2 linked regions of the Arabidopsis thaliana genome follow. The protein of the gene in region 1 interacts with the protein of each later gene in a pairwise test. Each region holds a gene or a part of one and is shown in the gene's direction. Other genes may lie near its edges.

Region 1 (3,765 bases):
ACAGGCAAGATGTGAACACGCTTTCCATACTTGACATCTGGGCATTGGTGAACAGAAATAACATCTCCCAGCCTAACCCTCAAGTTAGACCTTACAACCTTATTCATTCTGATCTTGGGTTCCTCACATGTTTCATCAGCGAGGGCAATGCATACAGTGTCCTTCCTCTTCTTACCCTGAAAATCCAAAACCCCAATCAAGTAAGTAATCACAGAGATAAAAAGAACAATCCAAACCAATTCTAAACTCAAAAAAAAAAACTTCAGACAAAAAAGTTGTACCCTAACTGAATATGTTTACAAGATCAGACAAAGTAAAAAACATAACTGAATATGTTTACAACATGCTCGTGATATACAGTCAAGACACAGACGATCCAAACCAAGTCTAAACTCAAAACACCCTAACATAGTGACATAAGGAACAAAACCTAACCTTGATGAGAATTGTATCGCCTCGGAAAAGCTGGAGTTTTTCCATGGTAGTAGGATGGAGAGAGACAACAGAGTTGTCATCGTTAATAGCTTCATCGACAACAAGTCGGTTTGGAGACTTCTTCCTCTCTAGAATCGCAGTACTGAAATCCTTCTTAGTTTTCCTGAAACAAATACCCCAGGAAGACAAACAAAATCAGCTTTCAGATGAGATCAAACTAAAAAACCCTATTCTCAATATCGAAAAACCCAAGTAAAAAAATCGAAACTTTATGATCGGAAAACAAAAATCAAAGATCTAAGTACTTACGAGTCGGAGGATTCCGGTTCGTTTGACATAATGATAGCTTAAACTGACAAGAGAGCTCTAAGAAGGAAGTTGGGAAATTTGTTTCTAGAGAGATCGATTGGTGATGATGATGATGATGATGAATGGGATCTCAAGGGAGCTGAACTCGGGATTTTATACGCTCTGTGATTTCCTTCTTGTTGGAAAAATAAGCGACCCTTAACTTTTAAGTTTATCTTGAAAAGTTCCAAAAACTAGGTGTTGTGATAAATACACCCATGTTCCCTTAACATCATATCAATTAATTTATATTATTATATGATTTATCGAGAATCAAAACAAAAATCTACCTATATGAAGAATTAAAAAATTTGATGTAATTTTAAACTTATTTTAATAGTGTGGCGAGGGTACGTAAATGTTTATTAAAAACGTTATGGGGGAAAGTTGAAAATAAAAGTAAAAGAGAGGTGAGGATAACAGTTTTACTTTCTGGTTTTAGCAAACACAAGAAAGGAATAGAAGGTTCTTAGGTAGCGGTACCAAAGCAAGCTACATGTTTTTCTTACTTTTTTATAAATAGAAATTTAATATCTTACCATTTGATTTCTTTGTTCTAAAATAGATTTCCGTTTTTTTTATACGAAGTTATCAACATACGATTCAATTCAATAATTGCAGAAATTTTTGTTTGCATATGAATATATCATCAATATGAAATTCTAAATAAATATTCATAATTATTTATTATACGAAAAAATAATTATTTTCCCAAAAGATAAACCCTTATTGTTGTAAAAAAGTTATCAAACTAACTGAACTTTCATCTAATTAAAAATATTAGTTACTTAAAAAAAAGTTTGGGTTACAAAAGATTAATAGGAATCTAGGATATCATCAATCTAGAACTACGCGCCGTTGTTAGTCTCTTCGATATTAGACGTTGCGCCGTTTTCACTTTGAGATTTGCGATATTATAACTACATGCCGTTTTAAACTCCACTGATCGTCTTCTATTCTAGTTCGATTCTCGACGGAGAATACTCGACGAGAAAATCCAGATCGGGAATCAACTTAGAGAAGAAGAAAATTAAAAAAGAGAACTTCTAAAGATGAATTTGGGGTTCTTAGTTGGAGTTTTCGGCGTTCTTATTCTTTCTCATGCCGCTTATTCAACAATCCAATGTATGTCTACTCTTCCCAATCCAATTCCAGTTCCAATTGAGTCAGATCTACTTTAATTTTCGAGATAGGATCTTGATTTGGGTTTCTCTTGTTTATTTCAGATAGAGGATTGTTGAAGATTATGGAGGAAGAGTTTTCTCGACCACCGATTAATGTGAGTATATAATGATAACGGTTTCTCTTTTCCTCAATTGTGTTTGAATTATATCAGCAATGATTATGCTTTTATATGAATCATGATTGGATTTATTTAAGGTTATTCTGGAGTTGATCATTGGACTAGCTCTGTGTATGTGGGCTGCTTTGACTTTCCCTGGTAAATTTCTCTCGATCCATCCGGATTCTGATGAAAACAGGTTTGTGATCATGTTTCTCTCGAACTCTCTGTTTTGCATCAGTGTTAATCAATCTGAATTCATGTTATCTAGTGAGTGTTTTTACTATTGAATTTTTCTCTGTTCGTACTTTGTTGAACTTGGTGTAGAGTTACTACGGGTCTTATAGAAGCATCTTCTGGCTAGATTTGGTTCAATTATTCAGTTTAATCATGGGTGTTTCTAGTGAATATGTTTTCTTTTGACTGAGAAGGTTTACGGATGTGTTGTTAATCAATTGATTCAAAGAACTTGTGCTCTAGAGATGTTTCGAGGGTCTAGTTTTGATGTCTCTTTAACTCTCTGTTGTGCATCAGTGTTTATCAATCTGAAACATGGAAATTTGGTAGTTATTATATTTCCCGATGATTGAATGACCACCAAAGACTCATGTTTATTGATAAGAAACTGTCGTCTAGAGATGTTCTAGGTCAAACATTGATGTTTCTTTAATACTTTGTGCAGCTAAGGTTTTCTAAAATGCAGGACATTCAAAGGGACATTTTCTAGTTTATATTTGGTCCAGTTACGATTATGGGTTTCAAGAGCTTTAACCAGTTCTGCTCCTGGCTAATTCAATCAGTTTATATTTGTTTCATTGGCTCTTTAGACCCACTTTGGTTCCTTCTATGTCGCAGCCTCTCCCCTACCTTTTTGTACATTAGGTTCTTGAATTGGTTTTGAGTTTGGCTTTTGCTAGATAAAGTGAATATCTCCTGTTAACTGGTTTCTTTCAAAAAATTTGCAGGGCGGTGTTTTTACCAGATAATTCGGATTTCATGATATTCAATCACCGTGGCAGACTGTTCCCACCGCAGATCGACATGAAGTTTTGAATTTTTATCACACTGCTTAGTCAAACACTGATCTGTGTAATGTTATGAGATGTTTCCATTGAAATTCTACTCTAAGTAACTACTCTGCTTTGCATCAATTTTTGATTCTTGAAACGAGTCTTGTGATGTTTCTGTGTGTCAGGTCTCTACTTAGAATCTTTTAGAATGAAGAATCAACATAACAACAAGTGCACAGGTCCTAGCAGGATAGGATACTGTGTAAATAGTCAAATACAAACAATTAAAACAACAAAATTTGCTATTTTATTCATTCCGGTTACAACTTTCTGATACATTAGAAAAAGCATAACCGAACAGAACCGGTTTAGATTCTCTTGGCACTGTTCTGGAAGGTCCAACTCCAAATGTCATGACGTTCAACGCCACGGCCCATGGCACCAGAAAAACCGGGGTACATATTTTGAAGAAAAACCTTAGAGAGATCTAAATGGGCAACGATCAAAGGCTTCTTAGGTTTCTTAACGGTTTCTGGCGCGAGAGTAACTGTAACCTTGGAGTTTCTATACTCAATCCAAGCCTTGTACCTCTCTCCATTACTCAGCTTGAACTCTTTAAACGACCAGTGTTTCATTTTCCCAATTCCTGTCTGAACCCAATAACCAGCTTTCTCAGCAACAACGGAAGTA
Region 2 (5,313 bases), on another chromosome or scaffold:
TTATCTTCATGGTGAGTTTTTTGGTCGCATATTCTTGGTGATTCTTCTTCTACGTTTTCACTTTCTTCTTCAGAGACCTTATTAATATGTTAATTGCATGAATTTATGTAACATTCAAGAAAAAGAGATCGAATACAAGAAACCGGAAATTTAATTTCTAATTTGAATTCTATGCATGTTTGTTTCTTTGCCAATTTAGTACGAATATATTTATGGTCCGGAGTTCTAACCAAAGATAGTTGCTCTGTATATAGAAGTTATACATCTCGCTTGTTTAAACTAAATAACTATTTAGTTTGTCTTGGTAGTCCAGTGACTTTCTGCAAACATTGGGATTTATAATATAGTCAAAACGTTGGGATATGTAGTATTCATTTTCGTTGTAAAAATCATTATATTTTGCAAAGGTTGCAACGTAAAACGTTGTATTGAATTTAGGAGAAAGTAGCCATTTACAATGAATTTTAGTGACAAACTGTTGTATACAGCCTGTGCCACTAAGTATGTCTATATCTAAATTTGGAATGGATGATAACCAGTATTGGTCAATAATGGATAATTTGGTATTTAGAATTACTAATTTGGTATTTTAGTGACAAACTGTTGTATGGAATTTAGGAGAACGCGTTCCCAAGCTATATATTATATGTATTTCATTCTTTCATATGTTATATTATGAATTGTTATAAAAAAGACCAATGAGCAACGGTTTAAGGTTTAATCAGTAATCGATCCGACCAATCATATACAAGTTCCTAACACATCTTCTAACTACTGAGTAAAATAGTAATGCTATTACAAAGGTTTTTTCTTTTCAAAATACAGCCTAATGCTACTACAAAATTCTAATGTTATAAAATAATCATAGGAGAAGTAAACCCCGGTATTTAATTAATACCTTACAAACTTACATTATTGATAAAGTTGAATGAAGAGTTATATGGTCCATTTAGTATTATTTACTTAATATGATACTAGTGTTAGACGTGTTACTGTATTTCAACGTGCATAATCAGGTTGTTCAAAAAGAGAGAGGATAGGTCTTCTTCTTCTGTAATTTGCTGGGACCGCAAGTCATGTGAGGCTGCTCTGCTGATGCTGCACGGCGTCGCAACTCTCTCAATAAATTCTTTTAACTAACGCTCCAATTTTCGATGTAAATTGGCTGACTTCAATTCTATGCCTTACTCTTGTACTCTATGTTTCTTTATCTATTAAAATCCAACTCTGCTTTTGAACCCAAAAAACAAAACAAAAACCAACTCTGCTGAATCATGAAACACGTCCTTGATCTTTATTTTTATTTTTTCCCAATATATGCTCTTAAGAACTAGTTATTGCTTTTGAACCCAAAAAAAGAATTCTGAGTTTTAGGATATCAAATGATCTTACAACTTTCTATATCAAGATTCTTGAACACTAGATATGCGGATTTCAAATATACTCCCAAAAATCAAAATATGCGGACCTATAATCCAAATTTGGATCCATTCAAAAAACAACTAAACAAAATTTTAAGTGTATAAAAAAAATGCAAATCCAAGTCACAAGATAACTGGAGAAAGAGATATTTCTTTTGAGTTGTTGCTAAATTGAGAAAGTGAGTGATAATACACGAATCAAACTCATGACTTACATATGAGAGTCACGGCACAACAAAGAAAAAAGATGAAGCTATCTTAAAGATACAAAGTGTAACATTGGCAGAAAAAAAAACAAAAAACAAAGTAACAAACAAACAAGCTATTTAAAAGCCCAATAAAAAGCCCATTAAAGGCCCATCCATAAGGTACAGCTAGTTTAGACATGTGACCGTTTAATCAGTTAGTGAGTAGAGATAGATAAAAAGAGTGAACATCAACATGTGGCTCTCTTTCTTCCTCCTCCGCCGAGATTTTTCTCCGTCTCTCGTTCTCCGCAATGGCGGCGGTCGCTACCTCCTTCTGTTTCTCTCCCCATCGATCGCCGTCACGTTTTGGAAACCCTAATTCATCCATTCGAAGAACAATCGTCTGTAAATCATCTCCTCGCGATGAATCTCCAGCCGTCTCCACTTCTTCTCAGCGACCGGAAAAGCAGCAGAATCCTCTGACTTCACAGAATAAACCGGATCATGATCACAAACCGGATCCTGGGTTCGTACCTTAGCCTAATAATGCTTCTTCTGTATTCAACTTTGAATGGTTTCTAATGTATTTGATTTTTTTGGGTTTAGGATTGGTAAAATTGGAATGGAGATAATGTCAATTGCATTACCTGCTGCATTAGCTTTAGCTGCTGATCCTATAACATCTCTTGTCGACACTGCCTTCGTTGGCCATATTGGTAAATACTTACTTTTTGCTTGGTTTCAACAATTTCACATTTTTCGAAAGTTCACATTTTTAACATTCATATGTGTAATGTGACAGGTTCTGCGGAATTAGCTGCAGTAGGAGTGTCAGTTTCTGTATTCAATTTGGTGTCGAAGCTCTTCAATGTTCCTTTACTAAATGTCACAACATCGTTTGTTGCGGAGGAGCAAGCAATTGCTGCTAAGGATGATAATGATTCTATAGAAACAAGTATTTTACTTTCCTTAAAGCTTATAATGAAAAATGTTTTTATTGTTTTCTTCAAAGATTGTTTCTTTACTTTGAATCTGTTGTTTATTTGTTGGTGTTAAAGGCAAGAAAGTGCTGCCTTCGGTTTCAACTTCATTAGTTCTTGCTGCTGGAGTTGGTATTGCAGAGGCCATTGCGCTATCTCTCGGGTCTGATTTCTTGATGGATGTCATGGCTATACCTTTTGTAATGTCTCTAAGCTCACGTTGAACTTCTTTTATATAAGCTGTTATCTTTGAAGTTTTGTATAGCTGATCGCTCTTCTTTCTCGGTTTGTAATTTTTTTAGGATTCACCAATGCGGATACCAGCAGAGCAGTTCCTCAGACTTCGAGCGTATGGTGCACCACCAATTGTTGTTGCATTGGCTGCGCAAGGAGCTTTTCGAGGTTTCAAGGACACAACAACGCCTCTATATGCCGTTGGCAAGTATTGCACAATCATCTATTTTTTTTGTATTTATGCATGAATGGATCTGAGGAAATAAATAGTATATGCGCATTAGCTCACTAGACCGTATATATGCATTAGCAGTTTCACATACATGTTTCTAATATGGTGAACTCTATATCAACAGTTGCGGGGAATGTACTTAATGCGGTATTGGATCCAATCCTGATATTTGTCCTTGGTTTTGGTATCTCTGGTGCTGCGGCTGCTACTGTGATTTCTGAGTATGTCCAAAAATGTGGTAATAGACTCGTTTTCTAGTAAAGCATATCTATCTTAATTTGTGGCTTCTTATGTTTCTCACTTGTCAACGTTTCTTCAGATACTTGATTGCATTTATTCTTCTATGGAAGTTGAATGAGAATGTAGTTTTGCTCTCTCCTCAAATCAAAGTGGGAAGAGCCAACCAGTACCTCAAATCAGGTAATTCCTTAAAATTTTCAAGTTTTCTTTAAACGATTCAGAAAGGCTACTATATGAAATGTATTGATTCATGCTTAGGTGGGCTTCTCATTGGTAGAACGGTGGCTTTGCTTGTGCCATTCACATTAGCTACTTCGTTAGCAGCTCAAAATGGACCCACTCAAATGGCTGGCCATCAAATCGTCTTGGAAATCTGGTTGGCTGTCTCTTTACTCACCGATGCTTTAGCCATTGCTGCACAGGTCTAATATCTTTTGCAAATCATCTTCGAAACAGACAATCTCTACCAAGATTTACTGTGATATAAGAATCCCATTAGCATGATCCAAGATTACCTTTTGGGGAGAAGATTTTCACTTATATTTTCTACCTCTATTTTCAGAGTCTTCTTGCCACCACTTACTCTCAAGGAGAATACAAACAAGCCCGGGAAGTTCTCTTCGGAGTCCTTCAAGTTCGTATTCATAATTCATTACATCCCTAGTTTATATCCTACCCTATATATTCGATGTTATAATGTACAATTGCAATCTTTTAAGTAGGTAGGTTTAGCAACTGGAACTGGTTTGGCTGCTGTATTGTTCATCACTTTCGAACCATTTTCAAGCTTATTCACAACGGATTCAGAAGTTTTAAAGATTGCTTTGTCAGGGACCTTAGTAAGATCTTATCTTTTAATCCAGAAAGAGTTTGAAAAGGGTAGTCTCAGACAATATCTAAATAATGTTGGCTGGATGCAGTTTGTGGCTGGATCTCAACCGGTGAATGCTCTAGCGTTTGTTTTGGATGGGCTCTATTATGGTGTCTCTGACTTCGGATTTGCCGCTTATTCTATGGTCCCTTTTCCTTCTTCATCAATTGGTCGTTTGATTCTCCCTTTTCTTCACCTGGAAAAAGTTGATTATTTCTCATTTTGGAACAGGTGATTGTCGGATTCATATCTTCCTTGTTCATGCTTGTGGCTGCACCAACGTTTGGCCTTGCCGGGATCTGGACTGGTTTGTTCCTCTTCATGGCGTTGCGGTTGGTTGCTGGAGCCTGGAGGTAAACAATTAATTAAAAAGACCGTTCTAGTTTCAAGTTTTCAACCCATCCGAAATTTTTCTTAAAAGGATACTGCGTCATGTTTCAGATTGGGGACAAGAACCGGTCCATGGAAAATGCTATGGTCTGCTCCAGAGAAGCCAGAATGAAGCGGATCACTGTTTTTTGCGGTATGATGCGTGACTCTTAAGTTAAGATAAATGAAAATGGAGTAAACTAACAATGTAAAAAACATAGTCTCATAGTCATAGTATATTGATGCAGCATAAATCCTAAGCTAGAATCTGAAATACTCAAAATATGAATCGAATCCACCTCCCTGGTGATAACTGGAGCTTTGAGGTTCATTATACAACAATCCGTTATCCAATTTGAATCGATCATAGCTGTAACCTTCCTCTGATTTCACTGCTGGGTTCACTATTTCATTATCAGTCATAGGATTCTGAGTCTTGTCATGGCCAAGCTCAATAGCGTCTTCATTGTAGACTACATAGTCTTTTCCACCTTCCGTTTCAATCACGCCATTACCGGCTTTGTTAGTTTCCAACCAATAGCCTCCCGAACTTTCCGCCTCCTCGTCCTTCTTCCTTCCCCCACCCAAATCTTCCGGGAAATTTAACCTGGCATAGGGTCCGTACATGACACTAGCAGCTCTGTCGTAAGCCAAAGCAGCTTCAGCTGCAGTAGCAAACGTGCCAAGCCAAAGCCGTTTACTACGACTAGAGTTTGCACCACGGTGACTCACTGGTTCACGTATCTCAGCAACCCATTTCCCCCAAACCCTTTGTCGA

The links.
Region 2: the proteins of AT5G03345 (region 1) and AT2G38330 interact in a protein complementation assay, tested with the Arabidopsis thaliana proteins (one large-scale study listed by BioGRID).

What each region holds. Positions count from the first base shown.
Region 1 is NC_003076.8:812,361-816,125, forward strand, and holds AT5G03345 (membrane magnesium transporter-like protein), read left to right. Parts: upstream 1-1,724; 5' UTR 1,725-1,835; coding exon 1,836-1,912; intron 1,913-2,009; coding exon of another isoform or gene 2,010-2,013; coding exon 2,014-2,062; intron 2,063-2,163; coding exon 2,164-2,355; 3' UTR 2,356-2,947; intron 2,948-3,030; coding exon of another isoform or gene 3,031-3,118; 3' UTR 3,119-3,259; downstream 3,260-3,765. Other genes in the region: AtCDC48C (ATPase, AAA-type, CDC48 protein), read right to left, coding at 1-176, 436-598, 745-773; AT5G03350 (Legume lectin family protein), read right to left, coding at 3,444-3,765. UniProt on the Arabidopsis thaliana protein: Mediates Mg(2+) transport.
Region 2 is NC_003071.7:16,062,651-16,067,963, forward strand, and holds AT2G38330 (MATE efflux family protein), read left to right. Parts: upstream 1-1,852; 5' UTR 1,853-1,920; coding exon 1,921-2,135; intron 2,136-2,215; coding exon 2,216-2,325; intron 2,326-2,411; coding exon 2,412-2,564; intron 2,565-2,667; coding exon 2,668-2,789; intron 2,790-2,891; coding exon 2,892-3,027; intron 3,028-3,179; coding exon 3,180-3,276; intron 3,277-3,374; coding exon 3,375-3,475; intron 3,476-3,553; coding exon 3,554-3,717; intron 3,718-3,857; coding exon 3,858-3,929; intron 3,930-4,017; coding exon 4,018-4,134; intron 4,135-4,215; coding exon 4,216-4,311; intron 4,312-4,397; coding exon 4,398-4,519; intron 4,520-4,607; coding exon 4,608-4,668; 3' UTR 4,669-4,787; downstream 4,788-5,313. Other genes in the region: DREB19 (Integrase-type DNA-binding superfamily protein), read right to left, coding at 4,797-5,313.